4 linked regions of the Rhinolophus ferrumequinum genome follow. The protein of the gene in region 1 purifies or fractionates together with the protein of each later gene. This does not show direct contact. Links are inferred from orthologs where the notes say so. Each region holds a gene or a part of one and is shown on either strand. Other genes may lie near its edges.

Region 1 (7,619 bases):
AGCAAGGAGGATTATTATGGGATGTGCCCTGAACAGCTGGGTGGGGCTGTCCTGGGTAGGTGAAGCTCTGGGGAAGGAGTGGGGGAGAAGGACAGGAAGGAAGAAGGAGGGAAGGAGCTGGAGAGGGTGGGTGAGCCCTGGAGCCAGACCTGAGGCCTGGCAAGAGTAACTGGCTGGAGAGGTTCTTCGGAGATAGCTGTTTGAAGCGGCCCCTAGGGCTGACTAGAGCTAGCCATCTCTGAACCCTGGACACCTGGGTCCTTGTAGCTCATACCTTAGCTTGGAGCTGCAGACTTGCTGAGTCCAGGACTTGCAGTGCTGGGCTGGCAGTGAAAACGCCTGTGTGGCACACCAAAGGGAGCAGTGCCCCTGGGTGAGCACAGTACCCAAATACCTCCCTCCCTCTTTACCTTCCTGGATTTGACCCTTGGGACCATATCAGGTATGGGGGTTGGGCCAGGGGAGCTTTGCCGCCTTGCATTCACAATCACGGAATAGAGACTAAGTTGGCTCCTGAAGGACAAACGCCTGGCCCATCACCCCCCAAACCCTGCACTACCTGCATCCTGTCTAGCCATCAGAGTGCACTGTCACTGTGGCTTTTCTTTTTTATGTTGTCTTCCCCAAACCCCTTATTCTAACAGATCAGGATAACACTGGTCATTTAGACCTCTTACAGAGTTTCTAGGGCTCACACAGAACAGAGATGTAGAGAGAGGAATTACAGAACATGTGCTGAAAACTCCAAGGACAACCACTCTGAGTGTTATTCTAGGTTCTTATGTACCATGGGCTAGAAACAAAATTCTAAGGTAACCGGCTAGAGAGGCTGTCCCCCCTGGGTGCATTAATCAGGAGATTATCCCACCCTTAGTCTCTGTGGACCAATCATGCTAGTGGTTTATTTATAATTTATCTGGGAGGATAGCATGGGGCCAGGGTAGGGAGGGGGAGCATGGATACATAAAGACCACAAAAGCAACACACAAACACACACATCCTAGCCCTCTCTGGAACTCAAGAAGAGAGGAAGGGACTTTAGCCTTCTCCTTGTGGTGTTAGGGAGAGGTGGAGAGTAAGAGAGGCAAGGGGGTAAGTGGGTAGAACCTGCAGGGATGAGGCAGAGGGCTGTGGTGCACAACAGGTATCAGTGTTTGCCATTATAGGCAAGAGGCTGTGACTACCCAGTTGTAAAACTCTTCCTGGTTTGTATTACGAATCACTGTAGTAATGTGGTAATATATATGAGAAGAAAAGGAGCCGATAGAGATATTACAGAAGGGAATATGAGGCCCAGAGGCAGGCTGCATCCCCTAGAGAAATGGGGAGGGAGGAGGACAGAATTGGTGTCTGATGGCTCTATATAGGGGAATCTTCTTGAAAGGAGGTATGCCCACATTATGGTATCTTAAAAGAGCTGCCTCCTCTCCTCCAGGTGAAGAACACAAGGCTCATTGTTGGTATGCAGAATAATCATGGAGGAGGGTTTGCATAAATAAATGGGGCCCAATCTTGAAGTCAAGAGAAGTTAATGAGGAAGACCGCAGCTTTGCAAAGTAGGAGCTACAGCCTGCACACCACAATGGATGTGGCAAAAGCGTGGACCAGGGAGTTAAGCTGGGCAGGAGCTGGTGGGAAGACTCATCAGCATCACTGGTGGTCTGCTTGGAAGCAAAGGGATACTGATTTCCTGAAGCAAGCTTTGCCTCTCCTGAACTCATTCTTCCTTGCCAGTTCTCCAGTTCTGTGGCTCCTAGAGGAGGGGAGAATCATCTGGTCAGGCTCTTTCTCTAGAGAAGTGAGATCAGAAGGGCAATGCAGAGATGGTATGAGGTTCGTCCCACTCACTTCTGGTCAGGAAGGGCCCCTCCTAGGAGGAAGTTCCGGTTTCTCTTCAACCTGTCCCACTGCCATAGGTCTTGGACTTGTGTGAAAAAGGCACATGAGAGCGGAGGAAGACATTACCTCTGGCTTGGGGGCCAAGGGGCAGCAAGGCAGTGGTGCTGGGACATTAGTTTTCACTCATGGAAAGGGAAAAGTGACAGACCTGTGGGCTCAGGTTCTCTGAGGGCCAAAGAGTTTTAAGACGGCACTCTCCAGCTTTCTCAGGCTCAGTCCCCGTGTGCCTGCAGGGTAGGCACAGTTAGGGAAGGGAATGGATATGTTGGGACGCTACCTTGTGGCATAATTGAATGACGAAGGCATCCTAGAATGTTGACTTGTACACGGGGAGGGGAAGATGGTAAATATTATACAACAAAGGTTTTTTTGGAGGGGAGTGGGGAATAGGGCCTCCATGCGATGAGGATGGGAGCAGTTGAAAGTATTATGAGACTTCAGGACACAAAATGAGAAACTGGCTGAAACATATGGGACATTGAGGGTAAGCAGAATTTGGTGTTCAAGAATGAGGATAATAATTCTGGCATGCTGATAAATCTCTCAAGAAGGAAGCACATGATGATACAGAATTTCAGTATTAGAAATGCTGGATGCATGAACATTGCTTTCCAATCAAAATCCTTTAGTATGTAGGGAACAGATAGATTATCTTGACTATCCATCTGTTTTGGAATACCTTCTAGCCTCTGGAAAGACCACCAAGAACGTCTACTGGAGTGCGATCTCTCCTGGGATTTGTTTCATTCTCTGTAACAGGAAATTGGGAACTAACACTTAGTTCTTCTCACTTGACACCAGACATTCTATCTGGCCTCATAGTTTGATTTATACTTCTTGGAAGGAGGAACTTATGGCCCTTGCATTCCCCATGGTGCCCAGCTCTGTGCCTTGCTAGGTATTCTGTCAACATCTATTGAATGAATGTGAGTAGCAGTGAGTAGAGGGAGAGCAGGTATTGTCTGTTTGTATGTATATAGCAGGATCCTCATCCCATCATGATGGGATGGATGTTCATCCATCAGAGTGCAATAGGGGTGTTGATGAATGGAGCACCTAACTCAGGAGATGGGGTGGGTGGGGAGAGGGCTGCTGGAATTTTGAGAAATAGTCTTTAGATGGGAGTTTGTAATTATTATGGGATGCTTGGGGTGAATTAAACTTTCACTTGGGGTGAATTAAATTCGCTTGGGGTGAATGTAAACATGTAAATGGCTCATCCGGCCAGCATGGTATTTGGTTGGTCTTACTCAAAACTTAAGAGCTGGAGGTAAGTGTCCGGAGAAACCTGAAGTTTGGTGGACTTTAGTAGGGACCTAGGTTGACTGGCAGTTCCTGAGTATCTGGAAAGGTAGGGTCTCTCATAGACATCAAGAGGCTTTATGCTAGGATACTGCTTTGGTCCAGAAAGGGATAAAGGTGTGTACAAGTTGAGGCAGGGACAGGGCAGTGTACGTAGCTTGTTTTCACCCTGGCTGCTCTAAGTGTTAGAATACATTGACAGCATCTGGAGATGGGGGAGGTATGAATAGTATGGGATGCCTGGCTGGAAAGGTATAGAGGTGGTGGAGTGGAGATGAAGCATTATGGGATGTGGTAGTGGGTTGTGCTGGGAATATTATGGTATGTTTGGTTGACTATGGACTCCTTGAAGTTATTATGGGATGTCAGGTTATGGGTGGGGAGTAAAAATTATGGAATACCTTTCCAGTATTAGAGAAAAGGAGATTAGATGTCTGTAGGGTGACAAAACTGCAGATCATTATGGGATATCTCTTTGATGGGGAAGAGTGCTTACCGTGTTTTCCTGAAAATAAGACTGGGTCTTATATTAATTTTTGCTCCAAAAGACGTATCAGGGCTTATGTTCAGGGGATGTCATCCTGAAAAATCATGGTAGGGCTTATCTTCTGGTTAGGTCTTATTTTTGGGGAAACACGGTATTATGGGCTGTGGAAATATATTGAGTGTGTGAAGGCTGAGGGTGGTGGTGAGAGGATCTAGACCCTAGCCTGCAGGGGTTGAGGGCAGCTCCAGGGGGTTGATTATTATGGGATGTCAGTATAGAAAGTGGGAGACTGATTATTACGGGATGTGTGTGGGAGGAGGCCCAAGTGTCCGTTGTTGCAGTGTGTGTGTGGTGGTGGGGGGGGTGAGTTTCTGACTATTATGGGATATCAAACTGGGGGTGGATGCAGAGTGGTTATTATGGGATGTCTGTGGGGGATGGGGATGAGTATTATGGGATGTGAGGCTGAAGTGCTGGGTGGGGTGCTTATTATGGGATGGCCACGGGGAGGGAGAGGTGACGAATTATTATGGGATGTTAGCATTAGGGCCAAGAGTGAAGAAGTTGGCAAAGGATGGCTATTATGGGATGTGGGGGGGGAAGGGTTAGTTGCAGAAGGTCTGCAATATTATAAGATGTCAACAGCTCTGGCATATATGTGTGTATGAGTGTGTGTGTTGGGGGGGGTGTCCATGTGTATTATGGGATGGCCAGGAGGTGGGTGGTTGCCCGGGTGACGCGCGCGCGCGCTCGAAGGGGGCGTGGCCAATGGTTGCCAGAGCGACGAGGGGGCGGGGGTTGCCCGGGAGACCTAGGGAGGAGGGTGGCGGTAGTGGAGGGGGGTTGGAGTTGGTTGAGGTTATTATGGGCTGTCCGTGGGGGGCGGGGCCTGTGCGGTGGGATTTCCCGGCCGGTGTTTCGGGCCCTTTAAGAGGCGACGCCGGAGCCGGAGCCATTTTCCCCCCTTCGGCCGCGGCGAGGAGGAGCCGAAGCGGGAGTGACACCGGGCCGGACCCTGCGCGACCTGCGGCAGCTCCGGGGTGAGGAGAGCGCGGGGTTCCCAAAGAGACGCCCCTCTCAGCCCGGCCAGCCCCGAGGGTCATCCTTCCACCCGCCCCTTTCTCAGGCGTCCTCCGACCCGCGGACGGCCCCCTGCCCGGAGGAGCCGACCCTTCCTCTCTCTTCCCTGCTGGGTGTCTAGCCCCCTTCCTCCCACCCCAACCCAGTCAGTCTGGCTCCCCGCGACTCCCACCTCGGGCTTGGTCTCCCACAATGCCCGGCGCCCGCCCCCACACCCTCTGCTCACTTGCCCCCCGGGACACGTGGCCCGACCCCCTACCGGGTGGGAGCCCTGTGACCCGTAAGTTCCTGCCTGCAGCCCCCCGGAGCGCCCGAACCTCCACGCCCCCTCGTCCCTGCGGCTCCTTGGGAGAACCTGAGTTGTCCCAGAGGACAGCCTTTGGAGAGCTGCCCTGTCTGGGCACTGGCCCCTCCCCAGGCGCAGGGAGGTGCCCCCCCACCCCCAAGTGACCTTGTGTCCCCGAGCGCCTCGCCGCCGGCCGCCTCCCGTGGCCCCCCCCCGCGCTGCGGCCACTCGGACCCTCCTCCCCCCAGTCACACCCCGTTCGGTCCAGCTGGGCTTCCCCCCCTCGCTCCCCACGGCTGCACCAGCCTGCCCTCGGGGGCGTCGCTGCCTCTCATCTGGGGGGCTCCAGTGGGGTAACCAGCTTCCGGGCTGTCCCCGAGGAGTGTGGAACTAAGTTCAGCCTGAGTGGTTCGGGTGCCCCACTAGGGTGGCTGTGGTGGGGGGGGCCGGTGGTGGTGGTGGTGGTGGTGGTGGTGGGCGGAAAGAGCGGGTGGGGGTGGGGGAGGGGGACTGCGCGTCACTGACTGTTCTCTCTTTCCCCCCCCTCCCCCGCACAGTGACTCGGGCCAGTGTAGAGGGCCCCAGGCCGCAGGCAGGAGCAGCTGGGCCAATTCCCTGGCCGTGAGCGGAGCGGAAGGGGATGGCGTCGGGCCTGGGCTCCCCGTCCCCCTGCTCTGCTGGCAGCGAGGAGGAGGATATGGATGCACTTTTGAACAACAGCCTGCCCCCACCCCACCCAGGTAACATCTTCCCCTAAGGCTCAGTGCAGGAAGGAGGCTTTTGGGCCCTCACGAGTGACTCTAGTGAGGCAGGGCTGAGTTTCTGTCTCTCTCTGCAGAGTCTGAAGTGGAGGGCATCCGAAGGGAGTGGTTCCCCTCTGCAGAGCTCTTGTGGGAGGGGGTGGAAGCCATGTGCCTTCTGGGCTCCGAGGACCCAAATGCAAGCTTTCTGCACTGTCTTAAGGAATGCTATGCAGTTCCCAGTTGAGGGAGCTCTTTGGGCTGGCAGGCCTTACCTCGTGTGGGTCCTTGGAGGAATGCAGGTAGCTGGGACCCCTGGAGGCTGTGGTGGTGGAAGGTAGGGGCTTGAAGATTGCTGTTTTAAACAGACCAGCTCCACATCTGTGCTGGTTAGGATTCTGGGGTTGCTGCTGTGGAAAGGAAAGAGGGAGTGGTGGTTACTCTCTATCTGATTATTTTTAGCTTCTGATCCGTTACCGGTTTTCTGCGCTGTTTCAACTGTGTGAAGTTTGAATTGCGCTCCTTAGCTGGGATCTGGAGAGCTTTTAGCCAGGCAGGTGGCTGGAATGTTTTGAGCGGCGAAATGATGGGGCTTAGGGGTAGGATGTAATAACCTGGACGAAATGCTAGGAGGGGTAAAAGAAGGGAGGTGACACCCTGGGCACCCTCCTCCCTTGGCAAGTGGACATAATCCCCGCTTTTTTTTCCTAGAGGCTTCTCTTCTGCTGTGCAGGTAGCCTGGGGTTTGGGCTGGTGGTGTAAAGTGTTTGTGTAGGTGGTGTTGGGGGTTGTGCTGTCTGTTTTGGGGTGGCTCCTTGAACTGGCCAAACCCGTATGGTTATAACCACTCCGTCTGATTGGAGTAGCCCTTGTTTACCCCCAAATGATAATTGAGGTCATGCTTCTAAGTAGATGTCTCTTTCATCTATCTGTCCTTCAGAGACCCCGGCTAAGTCACCTACTTGTTTCCTTGACCTTTTTTTCCTAGCTTCATTTTGTCTACGGGCCATCTCTTTATCCCCTCTATATTTTTCTTTTCATTCTGGAGACTGCTGGTCCTGTTTTTGTTTCCCATGGAACATCTTTTACTTTTGCCTTTTCTCTCAGCTCTAGTGGCAAGTTGAGGTGGTCTGGGAGAGAAATGTTTCCCCATTTGGCATTTTCTAAGTTGGAAGTCTTTATGTCAACCTTGAGGCCACTTAGGAGAGGGTTCAGTCTTTTTACTGAGTCTTCAGCTGTTGGGATAAGAAACTTAGGTTTGAGTTTCCTCAGTGTACAGGGCAGGGTAGCCGGTTTGTGTAATGTTGCCCAGGGTGGTTGTGGGGTGGTGGTGAGCCTGTCCTTGCTGAGGGGCATGCGAAGTAGTAGTGCCACCGAGCCAATGCTGGTTGCCCGTCTTCGCTTCCCACTGGCCCCTTGGTCTGGGGCTGCCCCTGTGTGGATTAGGAGCTGTATGGGCTCCACAGGTGAACTCTGTCCCAAGCTGTAGTATGACCCAGTTTTTCCACTTGCCACACCCCATTCTTACCCCTTTCCCAAATCCTCTATCGTATTTTAGCCAGTTTGCCGCTTACCTGAGAAGTTTGGGGGGTCTTCAGTGGATGGGAGGGTGTCTCCTCTGCCTCCCTGGGTTTGTCCTTGTGTCCACGTCCAGCGTTTGTGGAGGTGGTGAAGAGGAAGAACCCAGAGTTGTAGCTGACTGGGGCGGGGGGGGGAGGGCAACATGGGATTGTTGGGGCAAAGCCCTTAAAGAAAATGATTCTTTCTGGTGAGATCCAGGCTGGTGTTCCATTCCCAAGGGAATGGGAGGGGCTTTCTTGTGCCT
Region 2 (7,625 bases), on another chromosome or scaffold:
CGGCTGCCCTGTGCCTGACCAGAAGGGATGAAGCCAACATACAAATAATAGAACCCTGTCTGTCATGAGCACAGAAAGGTCTGCTGGGTTTCTATTGGTTGTGGCAAACCGGCCTGTATCCAGTTCTATGAAACAGTTGCTTACTTAGTGAAGACTCATATCATGTTATAATACTCAGCTCTAGTATTCCCTCTTCGATGAAGAATTTTTTTCCAGATAAAATCGATCAATGTGTCCTGTGTTAGATTGATTCTCTTAATCCCTATTCATGGTCTCCCATTTCCATCCCTTTTGCCCTATAACGTTTAGTTCCATTCACTCTGATGCTGGGCTCGGCCATGTGACTTGCTTTGGCTAATGGGATGTTGGTAAACATGAAGCAAATCGAAGCTTAAAAGAGGGCTTGCACTCTTGCACTTTGCCAGTGCCAAGAGAACATGGCTAGCCTGCTGGAGGGATATGAGGAACACGTGCAGGTGAGAGATAAGTGAAAGAGAGCCAGTGATCCCAGCTGAGACCACCCAGACTAGCCTAATAGCCAACCTACCCCAAGTCAAGGTCAGGAGAGTCACCCGGCCCACAGGTGGCTGCAGACACGAGAGGGCCCAGCCAAGGCCAGAAGAAACTGAGGCAGAGACTTGAAAGCAATAATGCTTATTGCTTTAAGCCACTATACTTTTGTATGTTTTTTTATACAGCAGTAACTAAACAGACAGATGCCCCCACTGTACTTTAAACAAAATTTTATCACAGCCTGTTTCTTCATCTGTAAAATGAGAAAAACCCCATCTTGAGAGCTGTTGTATATCCTGCAGCAGGTGCTCAATAAATTGAAGCAACTGTACACTCAACTCATTTCTTTGTAACCTACTTCCCATTCCCTTCCTGTAGGCTTAAAGACAGGGATAGAAGTCAGACTTCTTTCTCACTTCCCACCATTACCCTGTAGTGAGCCTGGCAAAGAGTGGGTATTCACTAACGGCTTGATGGATAAATGGAAAAATGAAAGAAGAAAAGGAATAAATGAATGACGTCTTCAAGGTGTCAGACAGTGAGCCTGACTGCTGGGGAGAACTGCCAAAGCCCTAGTCTGCCTTGCTTATTCCGGTGCCTGTGTTTTTGGATTCAGTCTTTCCCAGCTGCTGTTCTGCCTCATGACCAGGAGCAAGTCAGATCCTGGGCCGCCTTCCTCATCTGTTCAGACTGATGGACTTGAATGACAGGGTTAGGGGCATACCTGCCTTGTTATGGAATTTTTCTTTTCCAAATTAGAAATATCTTTTACTTTTTTTCTTTTTTAATTTTAAAGTTAACATGATAGCTGAATAAAGTCAACAACATACAGAAGTACATCAAATGGAAACTAAAAGCCTGACTCTCTAAAAATGATTAAGTTTGGGAATATACTCTCCTAGAAGACATATGTAACAAAATTATATATATTTTAAAATAAACACATACTGTCTATTCCTTTGTAAACTTATTTTTTCCTTTTCAAATTGTACACTCTTACCCTTTTTAACAGCTGTATTCCATAGAATTTGTGTGTACCATACTTTATTTAACCAATCCCAAGTTGATGGAAATTTGTTTTCAGCTTTTGGAAATTACTAACAACTGGAATTTCATTTGTTAGTAGCCTATTCCTTTCCTCTTCCAGGTAAGTAGCAACATGAAGCTTTTAGGAAACAATCAGATGAGATCAGATAGGAGGTTTAACAGCCTGGCTTAGAGAGGGTTTCTGTTTATGAGTTACAGGTGGAAGTAAAAATCAATGTCATGAAAAGTCTGCCAAATTACCGAATGTGTTCTGAAAGGTTATGTTTCCAGGTGCCAAAGGGAGGCCCAGATTCAACCTGGCTCCTGCCCACCTCTCTGCTCCCGTCTCCTATCCTCTGCTCCAATTCGGCAGCCCAGCCAAATGCAGGTACAGGAAGTTCCCTCCGCTGCCTCTGGGTCTCTGCACATCCAGCTTTCTCTGCTCCGAATAGTTTCTTCCTCCTTTCACCTTGCTAATTCTTCATGACTCAGCTCAGGTTTCACCTTTTCTGAGGCGTTTACCCTTATGCCCAAATCTTAGATGTGGAACTTCTCTTTTGGGCTCCCCAAATACCCTATATGTACTGCTACGGTAGCACCCATGACACTAGGGTGCTCTGCTTACTATCTGTATGTCCATAAACTGCACCAGGGCAGGAACCATGTTTTTTTTTTTCATAGTTCTATCCCTACCACGGTGGCAAGTAGTAACTGCTTAACAAATACATAAAAAATTGCGAGTGAATAATACTACAAAGGAGAGGAACATGAGGTTACCATAACTGAGGGATCTGACCTGGTCTGAGCAGTCAGAGAAGACATTTTTAAAGAAGTGATTGAGAGAAGAGATTGAGGAGAAATACAAATCAACTATAGAAGGGGGGAAAGATGAACACTCCAGACAGAAATAACAGCATGTACAAAGGCTCTATGGGTGAGAAGTTACTTTAAAGAAGGTCATATAACTGGAGGGAAGAAAGGGAGGGATATGTATGGTTAGACTGGAGGCTGTAGAGGTGGATGGGAGCCAGGCTGCGATGTTGATTGATGCTAAGAGCAATAAGAAGGTCAATTCTGAAATGGGGGTGGGCGGGGGGAAGTGAACAGTATCAAATTTACATTTGATATGGATTACTCTGGTTGCAATATGCAAAATGGCGGGGGGGGTCGGCTGGTTAGCTCAGTTGGTTAAAGCGCAGTGCTCTTAACAAGGTTGCTGGTTCGATTCCCACAGGGGCCACTGTGAGCTGCGCCCTCCACAACTAGATTGAGACAGCTACTTGACTTGGAGCTGATGGGTCCTGGAAAAACACACTTAAATAAAAGTTTTTAAAAAAATGGCTGGGAGGGAAGGCAGGAAAGATGTGATGATAGGACTATAGAAGTAAAGCTGATAGGACTTTATAATGGATGGGAAATATAAGAGGAATTAAGGATAACACTTGGGTTTTTTACTTCTTTAATGGTGGATACAGGTGAGAACACTGGAAGAGACTCAGGTTTGGAGTACATGGATTATGAGTTCAGTTGCAGATATGTAGAGTTCGAGTTGTCTTTGAAATATCCTGAAGGAGCCTAAGGGGACTTTAACAGCTCAGGAACCAATCAGTAAGTGGACCAATCAGGGCTAACTAGAAGCCAGCCAGAAACCAGCGAATCATGGCAGTATCAGATGTAGGTGCTGTGTAGCCAGACTTTCCTATTTAGTTAAATGTTTTCCATTGTCTTCAGTCTCTAGTTTTCTTTCCCATTTAAACTTTTAAGGAAGGATGTGAAACTCATTCAGGTTGATGTGTACATAATCCAATGTGGGCCACACAGGTTTCTTTTCTCTGGGCAATTCTGACTCGTTGGAACAAGTCTTAGGCTAGAGAGGCTGTAGACTCAAGTTACAGACTTGGCTGGAAGTTAGCACACTAGGGTCTAGTCCCGGCTGTCACTGATTTGGTGTGTGGCCTTGGGCAAGTCACTGCACCACTCTGGGTTTCAGTTTTACAATCTGTGAAATGGGGATAAATATCCTTGACTCGTGAAGCTCAAAAGAGACACTGGATGTAAAAGCGCTACATTGCTAAATGTAACAGATCTGTCATGAAGACTAAAAGGAATGAAGCTCTAACCATGGAGGTTAGAGAATCCCATCATGGAGGGTGTAGGGAAAAGCGGTAATTTGGGGACAGGATCCCTAGTAAGTGTGGAAAGATCCCTTTGAGACTGAGAAGCAGGCTCTACCCTGGAGTCTTCTTGCTTGAAAGGAAAGGGGCAGTGCAAGCCCCATAAATTTTCATACGTCTCCAGTATTAGGGCCTGTGTCTTTTTCTGATATTACTCCCATGTCTTGAAGAGCGTCTCAGTTCATCAGGAAAACTAACCCTATATCAGGGCGTTTCAAATATCCCACGCTGTGTCAGAGATTTGAGGCATTCGTATTAGGGGGCCCCATGTTTGTGATGGGGCAGGTTCTTAAGCACTCCCGAATCTGTACGGGTATGTCAGCGCCCTTCTCTCTCCTCCGCGCCCTTCTATTCCGTATGGGTGTAGAGTCTTGTCCACTGTGAAAGGAGGTAAGGGTTTTGGGGGGGAAGGGGTCTCTGGTCCCCGAGAAAAGAAATGACCCTCCCCTCTCCATAGAGCTTCTGTTCCCTGGAACGGGTTCCCTATTTTCCCGCTGGACTCACCCGCAGTTGCTGCCCTTCCAGCCTTGGCGTCCCACTCACTACCTCAGGGTTACCCAGCGCAACTCCATGGTAACTACCTTCGCTAGTACATCTCGGCCAGGCGCCGTAGGCGCTGCCGCGATGCCTACCGGGAGCTGTAGTTCGTCAGGGGCGGGGTTCTAAGGCCGCGGATGTGCTGAGATTTGTAGTCTTTGCTCTCAAGTCGAGGCGGGGGTCCGGAAGTAGTGACACCCCTTCTCCTTTCCCAGTGGCCCTCACACTTCCTTTTCCCGGGTCCTTAAGCGTGCCCTTGCGTGCATACCAGCCGACAGGAGCCTATCAGAGGGCGGTGCGAGGGGGCGGGGCCATAGTTTAAACTAATTGTGCGCTCCGCGCTGGCGCGAGCCCGCGTCAAACGCGATCGGAGGAAACGGGAGGCGGAGCGGGAGCGCGCGGCCAGGTAACCGGCGCGGGCCCGCGGTTGGCGTTCGGCCTGGGCGCCCACAGGAATGCACAGGCCTAGAGGGGGTGCTGGAGAGGCAGGTGCCAGCGATAGGCCTCCTGCGTAACGGAGTCTGACTGGGGAGACTCTATTGGGAGTAAGGTTTGTGAGGGGAGGGGTCTGTCGGAAGGGGAGGGGCTGGGCGTGCTTGGGGGGAGGGGAAGAGTGCTTGGGGGCGTGTCTGTGGAATTATGTCTGAGAGTGACGGTGGGGGGTGGGCGTGGGTAGGGCAGATTCCTGAAAGACTCGTCACGAGGGGTCCTTTAATGGGAAGTCTTCGCCTATTACTAACAATAGTAGTGGTAATAGTAGTGGTAAACATTTTCTGAGCACCAGCTACGTGCCAGACACTGTGCCACATGCTTTGTATGGATCGTCTTGTTAATATTGCTAACAACCTTATTATACTTTACTGCAGATGGGTCATCTGAGGTTTAACTTGGCCAGGATTACATAGCTAGTGCATGGTCGACTACTGGGGATTTTGAGGGTTGGGCCTAAATGAGGACCGGAGGGAGGAAGGGCTTTGTCTGTGGGTGCAGATTGTCTTGGAGGAATCAATTTATTTTGTCTCACTTTTCATATATGTAAACAACGAACCTACCTGCCTTACCTACTTCTTGGGGTTGTTTTGAGGGTCAAATCACGTAAGGTGTTCTGTGGAAGCATCTTGGGGAGTATAAATTTATGACTATAAAGTTACTGTGAAGGTTGTTGGTGGGAAAGAGCCCTCTCGGTGCCCTCTTTTGCTTCCTGATGTAGCGCTTTTCATCTAGTAACCTAAGAGTGTCTGTCTGCATGTTTGCCCTTCTAGAAACAGTGCCCTTTGTCCCTGTATTGTGATGCCTATGGCATGGCCATTAATGCATGCTTTGAAATGAATGAGCTTTCTTGGGCTGAAAGGGGATAGGAGCCTGGCTTTCCCATTTTCATTTAGTGGCCTTTGAACCTTTATTAATACAGTCCTCTTGCCTGGAATGGCACTGCCTCTTGAAAATGTGATATATACTTGCTTTAATCCATGCTTCGCTCTCTGAGGTCTGTTGCCTGATCTTGTATTTCCAAAGTTCTAGATTGTCAAGTGTGTTACTCTGTGGTAGGCAGAAACTTTTGATAGTAAGGGAATTGGGGCCCTCTACCTTGGGGAGATCTGTATGGGAACTTGGAGGGAATGTTCAGATCATTTAAGGTAGCTTTCAGTCAGCAGGGATGAGTGGATGTGTTCCCTCCGTCTGTTCCTGTGTGGTATTTTCTCCTGTAGAGGAAGAGGCACATACAAGTACTTCTCTGTAAAAGGACTCTTGACTCAAATTCAAGCAAATGATGACTAATTGTAATGCCAGAATTTTTATCTAAAGCCAAAAACTCTACCCCACCCCCAAACTAGAAGATCTTACCCAAAAGTTCACATAATAAACATTTCTATTTAGAATATTCTTTTTTAGGGGATCAAATATATGGTGATGGAAGGAGAACTGACTCTGGGTGGTGAACACAAAATGTGATCTATAGACGATGTAATACAGAACTGTACACCTGAAATCTATGTAACTTTACTAACAATTGTCACCCCAATAAACTTTCATTAAAAAAAAAGAATATTCTTTTTTGTTTATGGAATATGGGAGTGGGAAGAATGCCTAGAAGACTCAGCTTCTAGAACTCTTAAGATGGGGGCAATGCCCTGCTTCAGATGGCTAAACAGAGCTGATCAAGGAATGTTTGACAGCTGTGTCTAATTGATAACACCTTACGGTCAATAGATATGTTTGGAATCATTTATTTCAGCCTCTTACCCAGTGTACACTAATATATGAAAAGATGTTGTCCAGGGGTGGCCGGTTAGCTCAGTTGGTTAGAACCCAGTGCTCTTAACGGCCGGGATTGAACGGCCCAGTTCAATCCCCATATGGGCCACTGTGAGCTGCGCCCTCCATAACTAGATGAAACAACTACTTGACTTGGAGCTGATAGATCGTGGAAAAACACACTTAAAATAAATAAAAGCTTTTTTTTTTTTTTTTTAAAGATTTTATTGGGGAAGAGGGACAGGACTTTATTGGGGAACAGGGTGTACTTCCAGGACTTTTTTTCCAAGTCAAGTTGTTGTCCTTTCAGTCTTAGTTGTGGAGGGCGCAGCTCAGCTCCAGGTCCAGTTGCCGTTGCTAGTTGCAGGAGGCGCAGCCCACCATCCCTTGTGGGAGTCGAACCGGCAACCTTGTAGTTGAAAGGACGCGCTTCCACCAACTGAGCCATCCGGGAGCTCACCGGCAGCTCAGCTCAAGGTGCTGTGTGCAATCTTAGTTGCAGGGGGCGCTGCCCACCATCCCTTGGGACTCAAGGAATTGAGCTGGCAACCTTGTGGTTGAGAGCCTACTGGCCCATGTGGGAATCGAACCGGCAGCCTTCAGAGTTTAGGAGCATGGAGCTCTAACCGCCTGAGCCACCGGGCGGCCCCAAATAAAAGTTTTAAAAAAAGGTGTTGTCCATATTCGAAATGAACACTTACAAGAATGAGACCACTCAGGCAGTCCATATCAACGTTGAGCAATACTAATTAATAATTATTGTTATGTGCTGTTGGTGACAATTTTATTTTACCCATGTATATTTTCTTTTAAATTTTTATTGGGGAATATTGGGGAACAGTGTGTTTTTCCAGGACCCATCAGCTCCAAGTCAAGTCGTCGTTTACAATGTAGTTGTGGAGAGCACAGCCCACTGGCCCATGTGGGGATCCAACCGGTGACCCTGGTGCTGTGAGCACTGCGCTCTAACCAACTGAGCCAACCGGCTGCCCCAACCCATGTATGTTTATTCTTTGTTTTTTCACCATTCTTTCTTGCATGTCATTCCATCCTTTTGTGTCAAGCAGACAAATGTATCCTTCAAGTGTTTTTGTTTTTTAGTGACGATCTGTTAATAGT
Region 3 (7,855 bases), on another chromosome or scaffold:
TCTAGTTCATCCATGTTGTTGCAGAAGGGAGAGCAAGGAATTGAAAACCTGTTTGAAAAAATGATGGAAAACTTCCCTAACCTGGTGAAGGAAAGACTTACGAGCCTAGAAAGCACAGCGTCCCAAACAAGATGAACCCAGAGGCCAACACTAAGACACATCATATTAAGATGCCAAAGGTTAAAGACAAAGAGAATTTTCAAACCAGCAAGGGAAAAGCAGTTAGTTACCTACAAGGGGGCTCCCATAGACGAAGTTGATTTCTCAACAGAAACTTTGCAGGCCAGTAGGGATTGGCATGAAATATTCAAAGTGATGAAAAGCAAGGGCCTACAACCAAGATTTCTCTACCCAGCAAAGTCTCAATTTCTTTATGATTCTTTTTCATATATACCCTCTGAAATTCAGCATGAACTACCTTTCCCACCATGCTTAGTTCCTGACACTCCTAAAATAGGAGCCAAGAGGAAAAAAAAAAATGAAACCTTTTCCAACACCTGGGCAGACACTGATAATGTTGAAAAAAACATGAAATTTTAAAATGTTAAAATAAACAAAGGGAAATGATTTATGCTCAATGGAAAGAAAAGAACATAATTTGGAAACAGTATTACACTGCTTTTGAGAGGATCTTCTGTACTGTCCTAGCTCTCTTAGCCTTTTCCACCCAACAAAGCTCATTGCAAAACAAATGTGAAAGGGAAAAACATCATTTGTAAACTTCTTTGCTTGCCAATAAAATACTAAAAATTTATTTGGACTTTGATTAGGCTAATAAAAAGGTGAAACAAGCATCCTGACCACCCACAAAGGGATCATTTATAACCAGAAATGTTAGATCTCTATCACCACCTTCTGGTTTACTATTTGAATAGCATCATATGAAAAAAAGCTCTAGATTGCAGAATACTTTGAGCAATTGTTGGAGATGCTTACTGAACTATTTAGGGATGAAGTGCCATAATGTCTGTAATTTATTTTCAAATGCTTCAGAAAAAATATAGCTGAAGCAAATATGGCAAAGTGTTGATAACTGCTGGATCTAGGTGGTAGGTATCATAGATTGTTCATTTTAGCATTCTGCCTTTCTGTGTTTTTGCAAACTTTCATTTTAAGAAAGCCAACTTCACTATAAATCTAAGTAAATGCAACTAACAGAACAATGAACTATAACAAACAAAAGACTAAGCAAGAGACTTACGGGTCAATTGTGACTCTAATACAAGACATTTTTGGATCCCTTTGTTTATTGTCTGCAGCATTGACTGAAAGAAAATACACATTTGTAAGAAATTGAAGTATTTATAAAAAAAATCTTTAACTCTTAGAAAGCAAAAATCTCAAACGCAGTAGCATTAATGAGGTGTTAATTCAGCAATTTTTATTCACAGTACTGTTTCTAGTTAAGAATTCAACTTCACTGTCTCACCTTTGCCAACTATTGTTTGAAATGACAGCTCTGGCTACATAGGGTTTGCTAGGAATTATATACTTCTTATGAAGGATTTGACCAGAAGATCTTTATGTGAAAGAATTTACTTACCTAGAATTTCATCAAAGATTTTGTACAAACCAGGAACAAAAGTGACTTCCCTGAAATTCATGCCAATATCTTCATCATAAACCCACATTTGCTAGAAATAAGGCAAAGAGATGCAGTTATTTTTACCCTATATTTATTCTGTTTTATCATCATGATTACTGGAATAAGTTTTCTGGAATATATATATTCATATAAAATAGACTAGGCCAGTGCCAGTGACACTCAAAGTACATGAAGTATAGAAAATTAACCTGGAAAAACACACATTTTAACTACTTAGTAACTGCATTTAATTAGCTTGTTTTACCTGGGTCACTAATTCCACAGAGCCAATATAGGTGTCCGGACGGAGCAGAATATGTTCCAATTGCGTTTTCTTTTGATAGATTCTTTCAATAGATAGTCTTTTCTTAGCATCTTCATTTTTCTTTGTTTTGTTCATTTGCATATTTTCGTTTACAGGCTAGCAATTTAAAAACATTTGAAGCAAAGGGAACTTTAATCATAGGTTTATCAGAAACTATAAACAAAACGTCTACCTTTATGATATGCTTAAACACTATAACAAATCGCCATCTTTAATGAGTATTGGTGGAGTTTACATCGTTTTGTACAAACGTGGCAATTTAAGTTAACTGCAGCCAGGTACCCAGGTTACATTTTAAATGGACATACATCTCATCTCACTAAATGTATCTGGTATGGAAATATTTTCCTTAAGGGCTTTAGATGTCATCAATAAAATACACCCACTTATTCATCTACTCCATCTACTATGTGCCTACTGTGTCCCAGGCACATAGTAGATTCTAGTTCAGCAGCAGCAGTTTGGGAGGCTATCGATTCAATCCCTTGGCCACGTTAACGTTGTGAACACAGAAGGACGTATTTTGAGCAACTAGGGCCTGCCGGCTCATTGGGAACACTGTGCCTTGCTCTGCACCTTCCAAGGTCAAGGACATTCAATTCCATATTCAGCAGGAGGATAGCAGAGGAAAGCATCAGGAGGCGTTGTTTAGTCACAAGTGGACCATTATAGTACAGATCTACGATAGGACCAGTTGCTTCCTGTCCCTAGAAACAGTAAAACAAAACACAACACCCTAGAAGCCAATTTAGTCCATAACACTTCAATATTACCACCATAAAGAGTTTCACCCTCGTCACGATCACGCCGAACCCAGGAGACCCGGGTCCACACGGAATACAGGCTCCCAGGCCGCCGCGGCCGGACGACCGCGAAGCCCAGGAGCTTCACTCCCTCACTAGCAACCAGAGATATCGGGCCGCGCTAAGGCTCCACGACTCGCCCATTTCGCGAGTTGTACCTGCAGTGGTGACACCTCCATGGTGACGGTCGTGAAAAGGCTCGAGAACCCTGCAAGAGACTAAACCGGCGGGACCCACGAGATTATCACAGGACAAGCCGCTTCTCCACAGACGCTGGTCGGTTGGGAGAGCAACTCCAGTCCAATTTGAACTTCCCTCTAGCCCGCCGAAACGAGGTAAACCAATCCCTGATTCGCTCTCACCGGTTCCGTCCTGAAGAACCAATCGTAGCTGGTCTTTTATGTTCTCCAAGGAACGCCTGTTCGAATGAACCAATTAGGCAAGGGAGACGGGACTAGAGGGTTTTCAAACGACACCACTTTGGGTCGTAGCGGAGGGATCGACAGGGAATCTGGCCAATGAGGAGGGCTCGTTTGTCTTCGCAGTGCAGAAAACTCGGTGGACCGCGCGGTGGAGGTAGGAGGGGGATTTCTGAGGTGCAGACTGGCATAAAAAGAGGAAAGAAAAGGTTTCATTCCCCAGGAACTGCTAATTTATTTCAGATCCCTGAAAGCTAAAAACGATCCTGTGTCCCAAGGTTTTTTAGCGAGAAGAACGAGAGTCCTAGCTCCATTTTCCTGAAGAAACAGTGCTGGCTGGCTTTGTGTACAGGAAGCCTGGCGGCGATTTGATTAAGCGAACACAGGTTCTGACGTCTGCCTCAATCTCCTCTCCCCTCCCCTCCAAGAATTTATTTTCAAAGAAACGAAAGTGCTACAGTTGTGGGTTTTCGTTTTCATATAATAGAAAAATGTAGAGAGGCCGCGCGAAATAGCCTTCGAGTCCCCCAGGAGAGGGGCTTTAGGCTGCCACTGGGGTAATTTATAGTTACCGCCTCAGGAGCTGAGGATGGCTTAGGGGCCCATTCTAGTACTGAGTTTTTTTGGGGTTCAGACTGCCAGTAGGATACCCTCGTGACTTTTGCTCCCTGTTAAGTTCCCTGAATTCTGCAGTCCAAAACAGCTGTTCAGGTTTGATGAGGAAATGCCAGATTGAAGTTTTTCTTGAGTGGCTTTCTTTTTTCCTCATCAATTCACAATGTTAAAATGACCAAAACAATGTTGTTGCCCTTACAAGATGCTAGAAAAATTAAGGAGTGCACAATTTGCATGGCTACTGATTCCATCTGACCCAGCTCCTTCCCTGAGTTTCAGTCCTGGCTGGACAATTTGACAGTTGTGTCATCTTGAGGGAGGCAGCTTCTCAGTCGCTTTCATTTCTTCTGCTGAAAAAGGGAAATAAAAATAATAGTATTACCTCAGCGTTGTGTGAAGATTACGCGAGATACATGTTTAGGATAGTAGGCTAACAGTATCTGAATCAGGAAGCAGGAATTTTCCTTAGGCTGGCATGACAATTTGTGGATTTAATTTTTTTTCTTCTAAAAGAACCAGAGGGCCAACCAATTGTTAAATCACCCAGGCATATTTGATGCCCAGCCTGTTGGCAGAGCTCTCCAGGGAGGGCCAATGCGGAGGGGGTGTGGTAGGACGTGAAGTCCGGGATGGAAGTAGCCCACTGGGCTAGAGTGATTGGGAAAGCCGAAGGAAGGCTGCTTCGGCATGGCGCTGGTCCCTTCCTCTGGTCTCCTGGCCTCCCGTAGTTCCCAAGTGTTCTCAGCTTCACTCTGCTCACTATATGTGTTGATCAGAAAGGCAACGTCCATGCACAGGACCACCAGGGTCTCAGAGCAGTTGTGGGGAAGCCCATCCTGTAGCTTCTGCCCACCCAGAGGTTGAACAGGTCTTCTCATGTCACTGCCTACAGCTTCCCCAGGACAGAGGAGGACCCTGACAGAGACCAGCCATGCTGCCTTCTACCTCCTGGAACACAGAGCTCCAAAGTGGTAGGGGTGGGTGGCCATGCTTCCCCTAGGATAGCAGTCCAGCCTCTGTCCCTCTTGCCTCCACCCTGTTGCTCATCCTAGCCTGCAGTACCCAGGAATTTAATAAGCAGCTCTAGCCCTATTTTCTGGGACCCACCTTTAAATCTGCCCTGCAGTTTAGCCTGATCCTGTTCCAAAAACCTGGAAGCAGAACTGTGGAGTCTAAAGGACTTTGGAGTCACACATGCATGAGTCAGAAATCGCTCTGAGCCTCAGTTTCCCCATATCATTATCCTTTATCAAAAGTACAAAGGGCTAAATGACATATGGAAGCACCTCGGACAATCCTTCTCCAGCCCTCTAGCACAGAAATTTCTTCTCTTGATCATGAAAGAACCCCCACTTCTCTTCTGGACATAAGCTATTTCTGTCAGCCTGCCTCCTTCCTAGAGCCTCTCACAGGGGCCCTGCAAGACTTGTGGGGGTCCACTGAAAAGTCCAGGACAGGTGGGCCTGGGATGTATTGTCCATAAAGAGGGAATTCCAGGTGTCTGCAATTGTGCAAAGATACATGTACAAGATTATTTATTGCAATATTGTTTTTATTAGAAAAGAACTGGCAGCTATCTAATGGAAGTTGATCTAGGTGTACTGATATGGAAATATCACTAAGACATATTAAGTTTTTAAAAAGTGAAGGAAAGAATTAGAACATAATCCCATTTAGGTAAATGTTTATGTGTGCGTTGAAAACATCTGGAAGGAATCGTAAATAACTGGAGGGGGAGGAACACTTTTCATATTTTCCTTTCTATCCTATTTGATCATTTAAAAATTGTAGACATGTCTTATTTTTATAATGTAAAAAGTTAGCTTAAACAAAATTTAAAAGATTTTCTTCTGTAATTGTGGGCCCTGATAATTCTCGGTGTTCATGACCCTTTGCCAACATGTGACTTTCTAAGTGTTTGTTTTCATATACTCCCTATACCCTTTTCACCCCCGACCCTTTTCCTCACCTCACTGAAGGCCTATCTGTCTATACAAGTTTGTGTGAGAATGTGAATTTTGTAGATAGAGATAGAGTCTCAACATACTGGGGGAACTCGCAGTTTAAGTAAACCCAGTGGTGAGGACTCAGTAGGAAATCTCAACCTTTGCGCCAAATTGAGGGACAGAGTATTGTGGTGGGAAGTCCTCGCCCAGTTCTGCTGTCACTAGTCTCATGACCTTGGGTAAATCTCCTCCTGTCTCTAGGTCTCAGTTTCCCCACCTGTACACTGAAGTCTAGGTAGCCCAGCTAGAGGAGTGGGTTGCAAAACGCCTTCCACAGAGTCTAGAGAGGGGGTGGGATGGGCCCAGATTCTCCAACCCAGAGCAGCTCCACTTTCATCTTTTTACGTGTAAGAATTCTGTTCTGTGTAAAAATGGCAATCCATTACTTATATTTAGAAAAACCCCTGTGAATTGAGTTGGTTGAAATCAGGGTATGCCGTTATCTTGGCTTCCCCTTCCCTGCCAGTGCCCAGCCCAGAGCTGCATAGGAACGAGCTCAAGCCCACTGGGGCTGGGGCATGGTGTCAGGGAGGTGAAGCATGGTCTCTGATTCTTTCCACTCCCTATGTGACACCCCTACCCCTTGCCTCCTGGCCTAGTAGCATGGCTGATGTAACCTTAAATCTCTGCCAGGGTCCCAAGACCTCCTGGTTACCTATCTCTAGCACCTGTGGCTACTAATGGCAGCAGGTGGAACTGGCATTTGGACTTGGCATCTTTGCCTCCTGGAGGCTTGGTCAGCAAAACCTGGACAAACACAGCCATGAACCCCTCCCTTCTCCCTCACCCCCAGATTCTCCAGCTCCTCACATCCTTCCTCTATAACCCACAGAGTGGAAGTGGTCAAGGGAGTGGGATAGGGAGGACTTCCTCTCTGACAACAGAGGCCAGGGCTGGGCCTCTGCTCTCTTGGCTTCTCACACGAGAAGGGGAGGCAGAGCTGGACTGGATTGTGTGTCTTGATGGGCAGGCTACCTGAATACTCATTCCTGGTACGTTTTACGGCACTCTGGAACAGAGAAGGTCATCACTGAAGAACTCTGGGTTAGAATTCTCCACGTAGGAAGAGGAATAAAAAAGGACATCTCGGGGGTGTCTTCTGTCTGATACTAATCTGATAGTTGTCCCCCCTGCTGGTACTTCCAGGGCCCCCTCACAGTTGATGTCAGAGACCAGGAAGATTGGTAAGTGGTGGAGTGGAGTTAGGAGCAAGTTATTCACCAAAAGGAAATAAAAAGCTATGCCCTTCTGTTTGTAATTAAAGACAAAGATGGTATTCCTGAAAGGCCTGCAGCTAAGTGCTGCCTACATGTTTCTCTTTCCTCCCTGTTGATCATGAAAGAAAAGAAGCTACATGAGCAGAAAAGTGGGAATTTACAGAGAACAGAGAAGACTGTCATTTGGAGCAGGTAGTTCGTCCTGTTCTCACGAGATGAGCTAGAACCTGCTAGAGGAGAAAGCCTGCCTGGGCTTTTGAAATCAAGTTGTCTTGAAGCACTCTGAATGTCTAAGAAAGAAGTTTTGACCTGGCAAATAAACATTTAGGGCAAGTGTAAGGAAGTATTCTATCTGAGGTTGGGAAAAAAAACCAGGATAAGATTGGTCTTTGATAGGTAAGAAAGACTGATTTTTTTCTTCTTTTTTTATTAGTTTCAGGTATACAAAACAACATAGTGATTATATTTTTATATACTTCACAGAGTGATAACCCCAATAAGTCTATTACCCATCTGACAGGAGTGATTTTTCAAAAAGCACAATCAGGCGAGAAAATGTAATGTCGTCCCTGTCTGGAATAGCCTTTGCTTGGAAATGACCTTTGCAGTGGGTAATGTTCTGGCTCAACTTGCTATGCTATGGTGTGCAGTTGTTTGGTCAAACACTAGTCTACGTGTTGCTGTGAAGGTATTTTGTAGATGTAATTAGCATCTACTCTCAGTTGACTGTAAGTAAAAGGATTACCCTCTATGAGGCTGGTGGGCCTCGTCCAATCAGTTGAAGGACTTAAGAGCAAATAACCTGAGGTTTCCCAGAAAAGAAAGAATTCTGCCGCAGGACAGTAATACAGAAATCCTGTAAGAGTCTCCAGCCTACTGGTCTGC
Region 4 (7,410 bases), on another chromosome or scaffold:
TGCCGGGGGTTGCTGGGCCCTAGTGGACCCAGGCCCTCCCTCCAGGAGTGCTTCTCTTGCCAGGGGAGACAGGGGGACACAGACCCTTCCGCCCTGTGGGCTGGGATGGCCCAGTGGAGGCAGTGAGGGCTCCGTGTAGGGTCTGTGGGAAAGCTTCCTGGGAGGCTGAGCTGTCTCTTGAACTGTGAGAGGGAAGGGCACAGAAGTTCAGGCACGAGCGGTAAGCAAAAGTCTGGGAGGCTAGCAATAGCCTGTCAGTTGGGGAAATGCAAGTGGTACGGGGGCTGCAGCAGGGGCAAGAGGGGCTGAGGTTGGAGAGATGACCCAGGGCTGGGTCAGGTAAGGCTTGGAACTCTCCTGTGTGGCAATGGGGAGCCCTGGCAGGTTATGGAGGAGGGGTGGGAGAATCAAGCCTTAGAATTCTAACATTCCTCTAAAGAATCTGCTCTCTTTCTGTGGGAGCCTGGGCTGGGGGCCCAAGAGGCCTTGGAAAGAGAGTATAAATGCAACAGGTCTGTCCTTTGCGGCAGGGTTGCAAACTCAGCACCTGCAGGGGCCACCCAGGGGCCAACTGTTTGAAACCCCTGCTTTTCAGCTGTAAGACTCTTGTTACACAGGTTGCCTGAAGCAGAGAGGGGTTTAGACATTAACTGGTTTCATACCCTCATTTATGGGCGAGGAAACACGTTCAGAGGATTAAGCCACCAGGTCTGATAGAAAAATATTTTCAAGTGAGTATGGGGCTAATTGCCCCTGATATTGATTCTCCCCATCTTCTAGAGTAATAGTACCCCAATATTTAGACATTCACAGTGTGCCTAGATGAAAACTACATTTGCCAGCATCCCTTGTAGCTAGGTATGATCAGGTGACCAAGTTTTGGCCAATGGAGTGAGTGGGATGTTGGCTGAGACTTAAAGGAACAAGTCTAAAAGGGAGGGGTCTTTCCTATCCCCAACACCCAGGGGAGGAAAGACTATTCAAGATTCACTGAGGGGAAGGCAGCAGGATGTGTTCTGAGGCCCGGGCAACTGTGGCTCACAGGGAAGCCCTTGGAAGTTAACAGGTCCTGCTTCAACTTTCCCTCCACACCCACAGACCTGAAGTCGGGGATGCCCGCGGCAGTGCTGATGCCGGCACCCGTGTGGACCACCACGTTGGAGGACTGCCACACCAGCTTTGCCAGCTCCCACACCTTCCGCTCCAGCTCCTCGGGGGGGTCAAAGATCTGTGGTGTGAGAGAGCAGAGGGGAGCGGTCAAAACGTGTCCCTTAGTGGCAAGGCCACTGGCCACAGAAGAGCTGCCCCCACCTTGCCCACGGGAGGAGAGTGGATCTGAAAAGGAGGCTTATTGTCATGTCCCTCCTCTGCCCACAGCCCTCCAGGGCTCCTACCTTTCTCCGGGTAAAAGCCCAAATCCTCCCTGCAGCCTGCTGCCTAAAACACTCTTTCCTCAGACTCCCTCCGCTCACCTCCTTTAGGTCGTGGCTCAAAAGTCACCTCATTTGTACACCCAGGTTCAGAGCAGCACTATTTACAATGGCTAAAACATGGAAGCAACCCAAATCAATCAATGGATGGATAAACACAACGTGGTCCATCCATACGTTGGGAAATTATTCACTTTAGAAGGAAGGAAATTCTGACACCTGCTACAATGTGGATGAACCTTAGAACATTGTGCTGAGTGAAATAAGCCAGACACAAAAGGACAAATATTGTGTGATTCCACTTATATGAGGTCCCTAGAGTAGTCAGATCCATAAAGGCGGAAAGTAGAATGGTGGGTGCCAGGGGCTGGCGAAGAGAGAATTAAAGTTTAAATGGGACAGAGTTTCAGTTTGGGAAGATGAGAAAGTTCTGGATGGTGGGGATGGTTGCACACCCTTATTAATATACTTGATACCACTGAATGTACACTTAAAAATGGTTACGAAGTTAAATTTTATGAAAGATGTATTTTACCACAATAGAAAACATTGAAAAATGCCATCTCAGTGATGTGTCCCTGGCCACCTGGTTTCAATGCAGCCCCCAATTCTCCTCACCACTGCCAGCTTTACTTTTCTCCGTAGCTCCCATCTCACTTATATTTATTTGCTGCTGTCTGTCTCCCCACTGGAATGAGGGGTTTTTGCCTATTTTGTTTCCTGCTGTGGTCCCAGGATCTAGAAAGTGCCTGGTGGTACAGCAGGTGCTCAGTAAATGTTTGTGGAATAATGTGAATACAGGCAAGAGAGGAGTGCCTTTTCAGGAGGTTTCACACCATCTGAGAACTCCTCAACTTCCCGACTCAGGACGAACGGACTAGCTTTCAAGGGATGGGGGCAACCTTCCCCCAGCTTACAGAAGGGGAGAGGAGGCGCAGAAGGGAAGTGACAAGCCCCAAGTCTCAGTGTATGGAGGGGACTTCCTCTCGGAGTAGCTGGAGGGGTCTTTCTGACACATATTTACATCCATCCAGGTTCCTTCCCAGCTCAAAACCTGTTTCCATCACCCTCAGGATAAAGTGTCAATCTCCCAGGCTGGCATTTGGGGCCGGTCCTGACCGGGACTCTGGAAACCTCTCTGGCCTAATCTGTTCCCCCAAGTGTGTTTATTCCCACCTATCTCCCTGCCTTTGCCCCTGCAGGGCCCCCTCCGCCTAGAACTACATCCCCTCCTCCCCTATCGGAACTTCAGGACTTCCTCACGACGGTCCTTCCCTCTGTGCAAGCCTCGTGGACCCGGAGCTGGGCGTCTTCGCGTCCCCGAGTATGCTGGGGGCGTCACTTCCCGCCCCCTCCTCACTGGGAAGTCCCTCCCATTGTCTAGCCTCAGTGCCTCCTGATATTCCCACAATGCCCCGCTGCCGCCCGGCCCCGCCCGGTCCACCACCCTAGAGGGGGAGGCTTTCCGGTCCTCCCGCCGCGCTCACCTCGGGGAGGCCGCACTTGCCCTTGTCCGCGTACGGCGACAACCCCGCTGCGTAATTCACCGACATTCTCACCGCTCCAACGGGAACAATAAAGTTTCCCTTGTTGAGGCCACTTCCGCCGGAAATAGGGCTGCACGGGGAGGAACTAGGAGTCGCCGGCTCGCTCCCACCAAGGCGCATGCGCCTCACGTTGACGCCGCAGGCGCCATCTTAATTGCTGGTTAAAGAAGCCGCCTTACTTCTGCGAGTTCGCGTGAGACGGAGGGGGCTGTGACCCGGCCGAGAAGCTGGGGCAGCTGTGCGCGTGAGAGTTCTGCAGTCGCCTCTAAAAGGAGGAACACAATCCATTTTCCCTTTTTACAAATTAGTAAAGTGATGCTCCACTTCCACTCCTGCATGAGGGTAGAATCAGAGAGAAGGGACCCAGTCCTAGGTTCTTTCCGTTGCACCTTTCAGACATTTGTAAAGTTACAAGATAAGTTATAAAGTTCAGGATACCTGTGGCACGGAGCAACGTGGGGCCTCATTAGGGGAGGTCTTGGCCAACACTCTAAGTTATTTGAATATTTTTCAGGTGGATGGTAATCTCCACTCAGTAGGACAGGTCCAGACCACCAAGAGACTAGAGAAACTGCGCAAGGTCATTGGGGCTGGTGGCCTTCAGGACTCATTTAGGAAACACGTGTTGAATACCTACTGTGTGCTGAGGAGGCACTGGAAAACAAAGGTGGCACCTTGTGGCTAATTAGGGACACAACCCAGTGACTGGGCTGTCGTGACTTAGTGTGATTGGGGAGCAGTGAGGGCGCCGGGGAAATGCGGGAGCTCAAAGGAGGCACCTGACCCAGCCGGGGGCAATTCGGAAAGGATTTCTGGAGGAGAGGGTGTAGCAAAGATCTGAAGAGTGAGTAGCAGTGAGATGGGGAGAATGAGCAAGTTGGGGGTGACATGGGGTACAGAAAAAGTGTTCCTGGCAGAGGGAACAGCAAGTGTAAAGGCTGAGAGGAGAGAAAGACGGTGGCTCATTCCAGAAACTGAAATCAGTCCGGTGACGATAGGGAAGAACATCGGTGTCTTCCCGCCAGAGCCGGTTGGCCAACAGGCAGCCCCGCTGCCAACCTGTCTCCTCCCTCGGCTCATCCCCGGCCCCCTGGGGCAGCTGCCCGCTCAGAGGTGATCGGGTGTCGGAGCTGAGCGCACAGAGCTGCTGGTACGAGCTGGTGGCCCAGCTGGGAGCAGGTAACCGGAGCCAGCAGTGAACACGGTGGCCTGGTGCTGGAGTCACTGGAGCTGCAGGAGGTAGGAGAGGAAGGAAGGGAGGGAAGCCTGGGCCGGGGGCTCCCCTTAGGGTCTGAGGCTCCTTGTCCCTGAGCCCTGATATGTGGGAGCAAGGAGAAGCCCGTGTGTGTCCCAGCCACGCTGAGGAGCCTCTTAGGCGCCCTGACACACACACACAGTGGTTCGTGCACGCACCTCCCGCTTCCCAGCCTTGGCCTTGTCTAGGGTATGGACCCTGTTTTCCTGCTGCTGCTCAGTATCCTGCCGGCCTTCAGGCCCTGCTTCTATAGCATCACCTCTTCCAGGAAGCAGCTCCCTAGCTGAGGGCACTTCCCCCTCCCCCAAGCTCACAGATTCCCTCCTGCCCAGGCAACCTGTGGACTCCTCTCTTGGGTGTCTTATTACACTCTGCTCTGGGTGTGATTGAGTCCTTTAGACAGGGGCAAAGACAGGTGGGAAAGGTGGTGAGCAAAGCAGTACATTGAGTGAATGGAGTGAATTAAAGGGTGAATGAATGGATGGGCAGTAGATGGATGACTGGGTGATAGAGTGGATGGATGGATGGATAGGTGGACGGACGGGAAGGTGGATGGATGGTAAGTCGATAAGTCAGTGGAGGGTGGATGAGGATGGATGAGGGAATAGATGAGTGGGTGGGTGTTAGATATGTGGGTGAGCACATAGGTGGATGTGTAGGTGGATGGATTGATGGGCAGGTAGATAGGTGGGTGGTTAGGGGGGTGGATGGATGGATGGATAGGTGGATGGTGGGTGGTTAGGGGGCGGATGGATGGATGGATAGGTGGATGGTGGGTGGATGGTGGGTGGTGACTGAAGCATAGTTGAAGGGTGCATGAAGGACCATGAGAAAAATGAGTTGGGCAGGTGAGTTGGTGGGTGGGTATACAAGTGCTTGGATAGGGAGGTGGATGTACAAATGAGTAGATCGGTAGGTAGAAAGAAGGAAGGATGGCTTGGAGAAGTCACGGGCAGGTGGACAGGTGAAATCCTGTTCAGACACAGGAAAGAATCCCTACCCACACACCTAGCAACACATCCCTTCAAGACATCCCTGCCTGATCTCCATACCCACATGTGCATGGAACACAGAACAGGCCAAGGTGCATAGATGTGCATGCACACACACACCTCATGCTTGTGTGTGTGCACGTGCATGCACACATTTATCACCCCAGACCTCCGCCTGCCTTGGGTGACTTGTGTCTAGTCTCTCACTCACACAGAAGTCAGGCTGGTGTAAGGGATGTAGCTGCAAGGACGTTCTCTCTGACGATCCAAGAAACATACCTCTGTGCTAAGAGCCTCCGCTCTGGGCTTGGCCCCAAGGAGCCCCTAAGTATTCAGAAAGATTGAACCAGCTCAGACACCTTGAGCTTGTGGAGCCATGGCTGGGGCAGGAAAAGGGACCCAGCCAGGGCTGGGGGAACCCAATTTGGGGGGTTAGAGCTCTGCCTGCTGGTGAGAGGCAAAGTTGATCAGAGCACGGGGTTTTGGAACTAGGCTGTGTAGGATGAATAGGAGTTCACCAGAGAAGGAAAAAAGAAAGGCAGGTAGAAATTTCTAGGTAGAAATAACTGCACAGATGAAAGCTTGGAGACGAGAAAATGCTTGATCTGCTTGGGCCACAGGGAATACTAGTGAAGTGAATTATTGAGGACCTGTTAGCTGGGCCTGTGGTAGGGACCTCATGGAAAACTGACCACGAGATGGTCAAGAGGGGATTACCTTCCTCATTTTAAGGATGAGGGATGTGAAACTTAGAGAGGGCAAGTGACCTGCTGAAGGGCACACAGCAATTAGGAGATGCAGCAGGTAGGTCTCTGTCCTGCTGTAGGTGCTGGGATGGCCCAGTGAGGGGGAAGTGGTTCTTTTGAGGAGGGGGAGGTAGCCGACCCTCTGGCTCACCAGCACTGATGTCCCTCACCCCCTGCCCTTTCCCAGGTGGCCTGGGTTGCAGAGAAACACCAGACACTGGCCATGAAGACTCTCCGGGCACGATTTAAGAAGACAGAGGTGAGTGTGAGGCCACTGAGATGCCTGATGTCCCGCAACCTCAGGTTCCTGTCCTCCAGGGCCTGAATGAAGATCCACAGGCCTTGTGGGCTGTTTTCCCCCACCCATCAGATTCTTTTAGCAGCTTCCACATGACCCTCTCTGCTCAACACTCTTCCATGGTTCCTCACCACTCAAAGGTTCAAGTTTACCCCTTTAGCCTCTGGCCACCTCTCCTTCCCTTTCTCTCTACTGCCCCCTGCTGCCCCGATGTCCCCACTGCTTCCTGTTCAAGCTTTCTGGCCACCATACCTTTTCCCAGGCTGCTCCCTCTACCTGGAATGCCCTCTCCCCATATTGCTGCCTGTCATACCCTCCCCGTCCCTACCAAGTTGGCTCCAATAACGCTTCTTCCAGAAGATCTCTGCTCTCCCCAACTACAGTGACCACTTGCATTTCTGAGGACTCACTTTTTGGGGGACTCTGATCTCTTGCTTTTGTCTATTTATTCAGCACACATTTGTATCAGGCACTGTTCTAGGCACAGAACAGACATCAATGAATAGGGCAGACAGAAATCTTTGCCCTCTAGAGCTGAAAGCCTGGTGGGGGAGGTGGACGCTAAACAAGATCGATGAGAGAAAGGCATATTTTGTGTCATGGAGCAAAGAAAGCAAAGAAAGGAAATTGGAGTGTCCAGGGCAGGGGAGAGCATTGCGATTTCAAAGCGGCTTGTCAGCAAAGTCCTCGCCAGGAAGCTGATCTTAGAGCAAAGATCGTAAGGGAAAGAGAGAGGGCTTCGTGTGCTTATTTGAAGGAGTTGAATTCCAGGGGTAGGGAACAGCCAGTGCGAAGGCCCTGAGGTGGGATCGAGCTGGCTTCCCTTGCAGCTATATCTTGGAGTGTGAACCTCTGGAGGGAAATGCTTCTTCCTCAGGCACCCCTACTCCTTCCTGCCCACCCCCAGTCCCTGCCTGTGTGGGGGCTGGTTCAGGGCACAGATTAAGAGACCTAAGTGAGGATTTGCATCTAGAGTCAGGGTGGCCCTCTGTACTGGGCGTGGTCAGGCTTAATTTCACACTCACGGCACAAAGAAACCGAGGTCCAGAGAGGTTCACACACCATTCCCGGTCACAAAGCAAAGTGGCAACAGTGAGATGCAAACCTACACGTGCCTGACTTCAGAGCTCTTAGTCTCTCCA

The links.
Region 2: the proteins of CHD4 (region 1) and NUMA1 purify together in Homo sapiens (affinity purification with mass spectrometry; 3 studies listed by BioGRID and IntAct, with this or other methods). This does not show direct contact. The link is inferred for Rhinolophus ferrumequinum from reciprocal best matches to the Homo sapiens genes CHD4 and NUMA1.
Region 3: the proteins of CHD4 (region 1) and TOP2A purify together in Homo sapiens (affinity purification with mass spectrometry; 3 studies listed by BioGRID and IntAct, with this or other methods). This does not show direct contact. The link is inferred for Rhinolophus ferrumequinum from reciprocal best matches to the Homo sapiens genes CHD4 and TOP2A.
Region 4: the proteins of CHD4 (region 1) and SIRT6 purify together in Homo sapiens (affinity purification with mass spectrometry; 3 studies listed by BioGRID, with this or other methods). This does not show direct contact. The link is inferred for Rhinolophus ferrumequinum from reciprocal best matches to the Homo sapiens genes CHD4 and SIRT6.

The regions. Positions count from the first base shown.
Region 1 is NC_046293.1:23,841,622-23,849,240, reverse strand, and holds the start of CHD4 (chromodomain-helicase-DNA-binding protein 4), read left to right. Parts: upstream 1-4,574; 5' UTR 4,575-4,728; intron 4,729-5,611; 5' UTR 5,612-5,694; coding exon 5,695-5,794; intron 5,795-6,069; exon of another isoform or gene 6,070-6,201; intron 6,202-7,368; exon of another isoform or gene 7,369-7,498; intron 7,499-7,619. UniProt on the Homo sapiens protein: ATP-dependent chromatin-remodeling factor that binds and distorts nucleosomal DNA. Acts as a component of the histone deacetylase NuRD complex which participates in the remodeling of chromatin.
Region 2 is NC_046294.1:47,675,434-47,683,058, reverse strand, and holds the start of NUMA1 (nuclear mitotic apparatus protein 1), read left to right. Parts: upstream 1-4,569; 5' UTR 4,570-4,656; intron 4,657-4,683; exon of another isoform or gene 4,684-4,800; intron 4,801-7,625. UniProt on the Homo sapiens protein: Microtubule (MT)-binding protein that plays a role in the formation and maintenance of the spindle poles and the alignement and the segregation of chromosomes during mitotic cell division.
Region 3 is NC_046304.1:36,816,674-36,824,528, forward strand, and holds the start of TOP2A (DNA topoisomerase 2-alpha), read right to left. Parts: upstream 3,013-7,855; 5' UTR 2,893-3,012; coding exon 2,872-2,892; intron 2,007-2,871; coding exon 1,851-2,006; intron 1,635-1,850; coding exon 1,544-1,634; intron 1,266-1,543; coding exon 1,202-1,265; intron 1-1,201. UniProt on the Homo sapiens protein: Key decatenating enzyme that alters DNA topology by binding to two double-stranded DNA molecules, generating a double-stranded break in one of the strands, passing the intact strand through the broken strand, and religating the broken strand.
Region 4 is NC_046301.1:59,431,080-59,438,489, reverse strand, and holds the start of SIRT6 (NAD-dependent protein deacylase sirtuin-6), read right to left. Parts: upstream 3,036-7,410; 5' UTR 2,984-3,035; coding exon 2,918-2,983; intron 1,987-2,917; exon of another isoform or gene 1,981-1,986; coding exon of another isoform or gene 1,966-1,980; intron 1,229-1,965; coding exon 1,101-1,228; intron 1-1,100. Other genes in the region: ANKRD24 (ankyrin repeat domain-containing protein 24), read left to right, coding at 6,194-6,229. UniProt on the Homo sapiens protein: NAD-dependent protein deacetylase, deacylase and mono-ADP-ribosyltransferase that plays an essential role in DNA damage repair, telomere maintenance, metabolic homeostasis, inflammation, tumorigenesis and aging.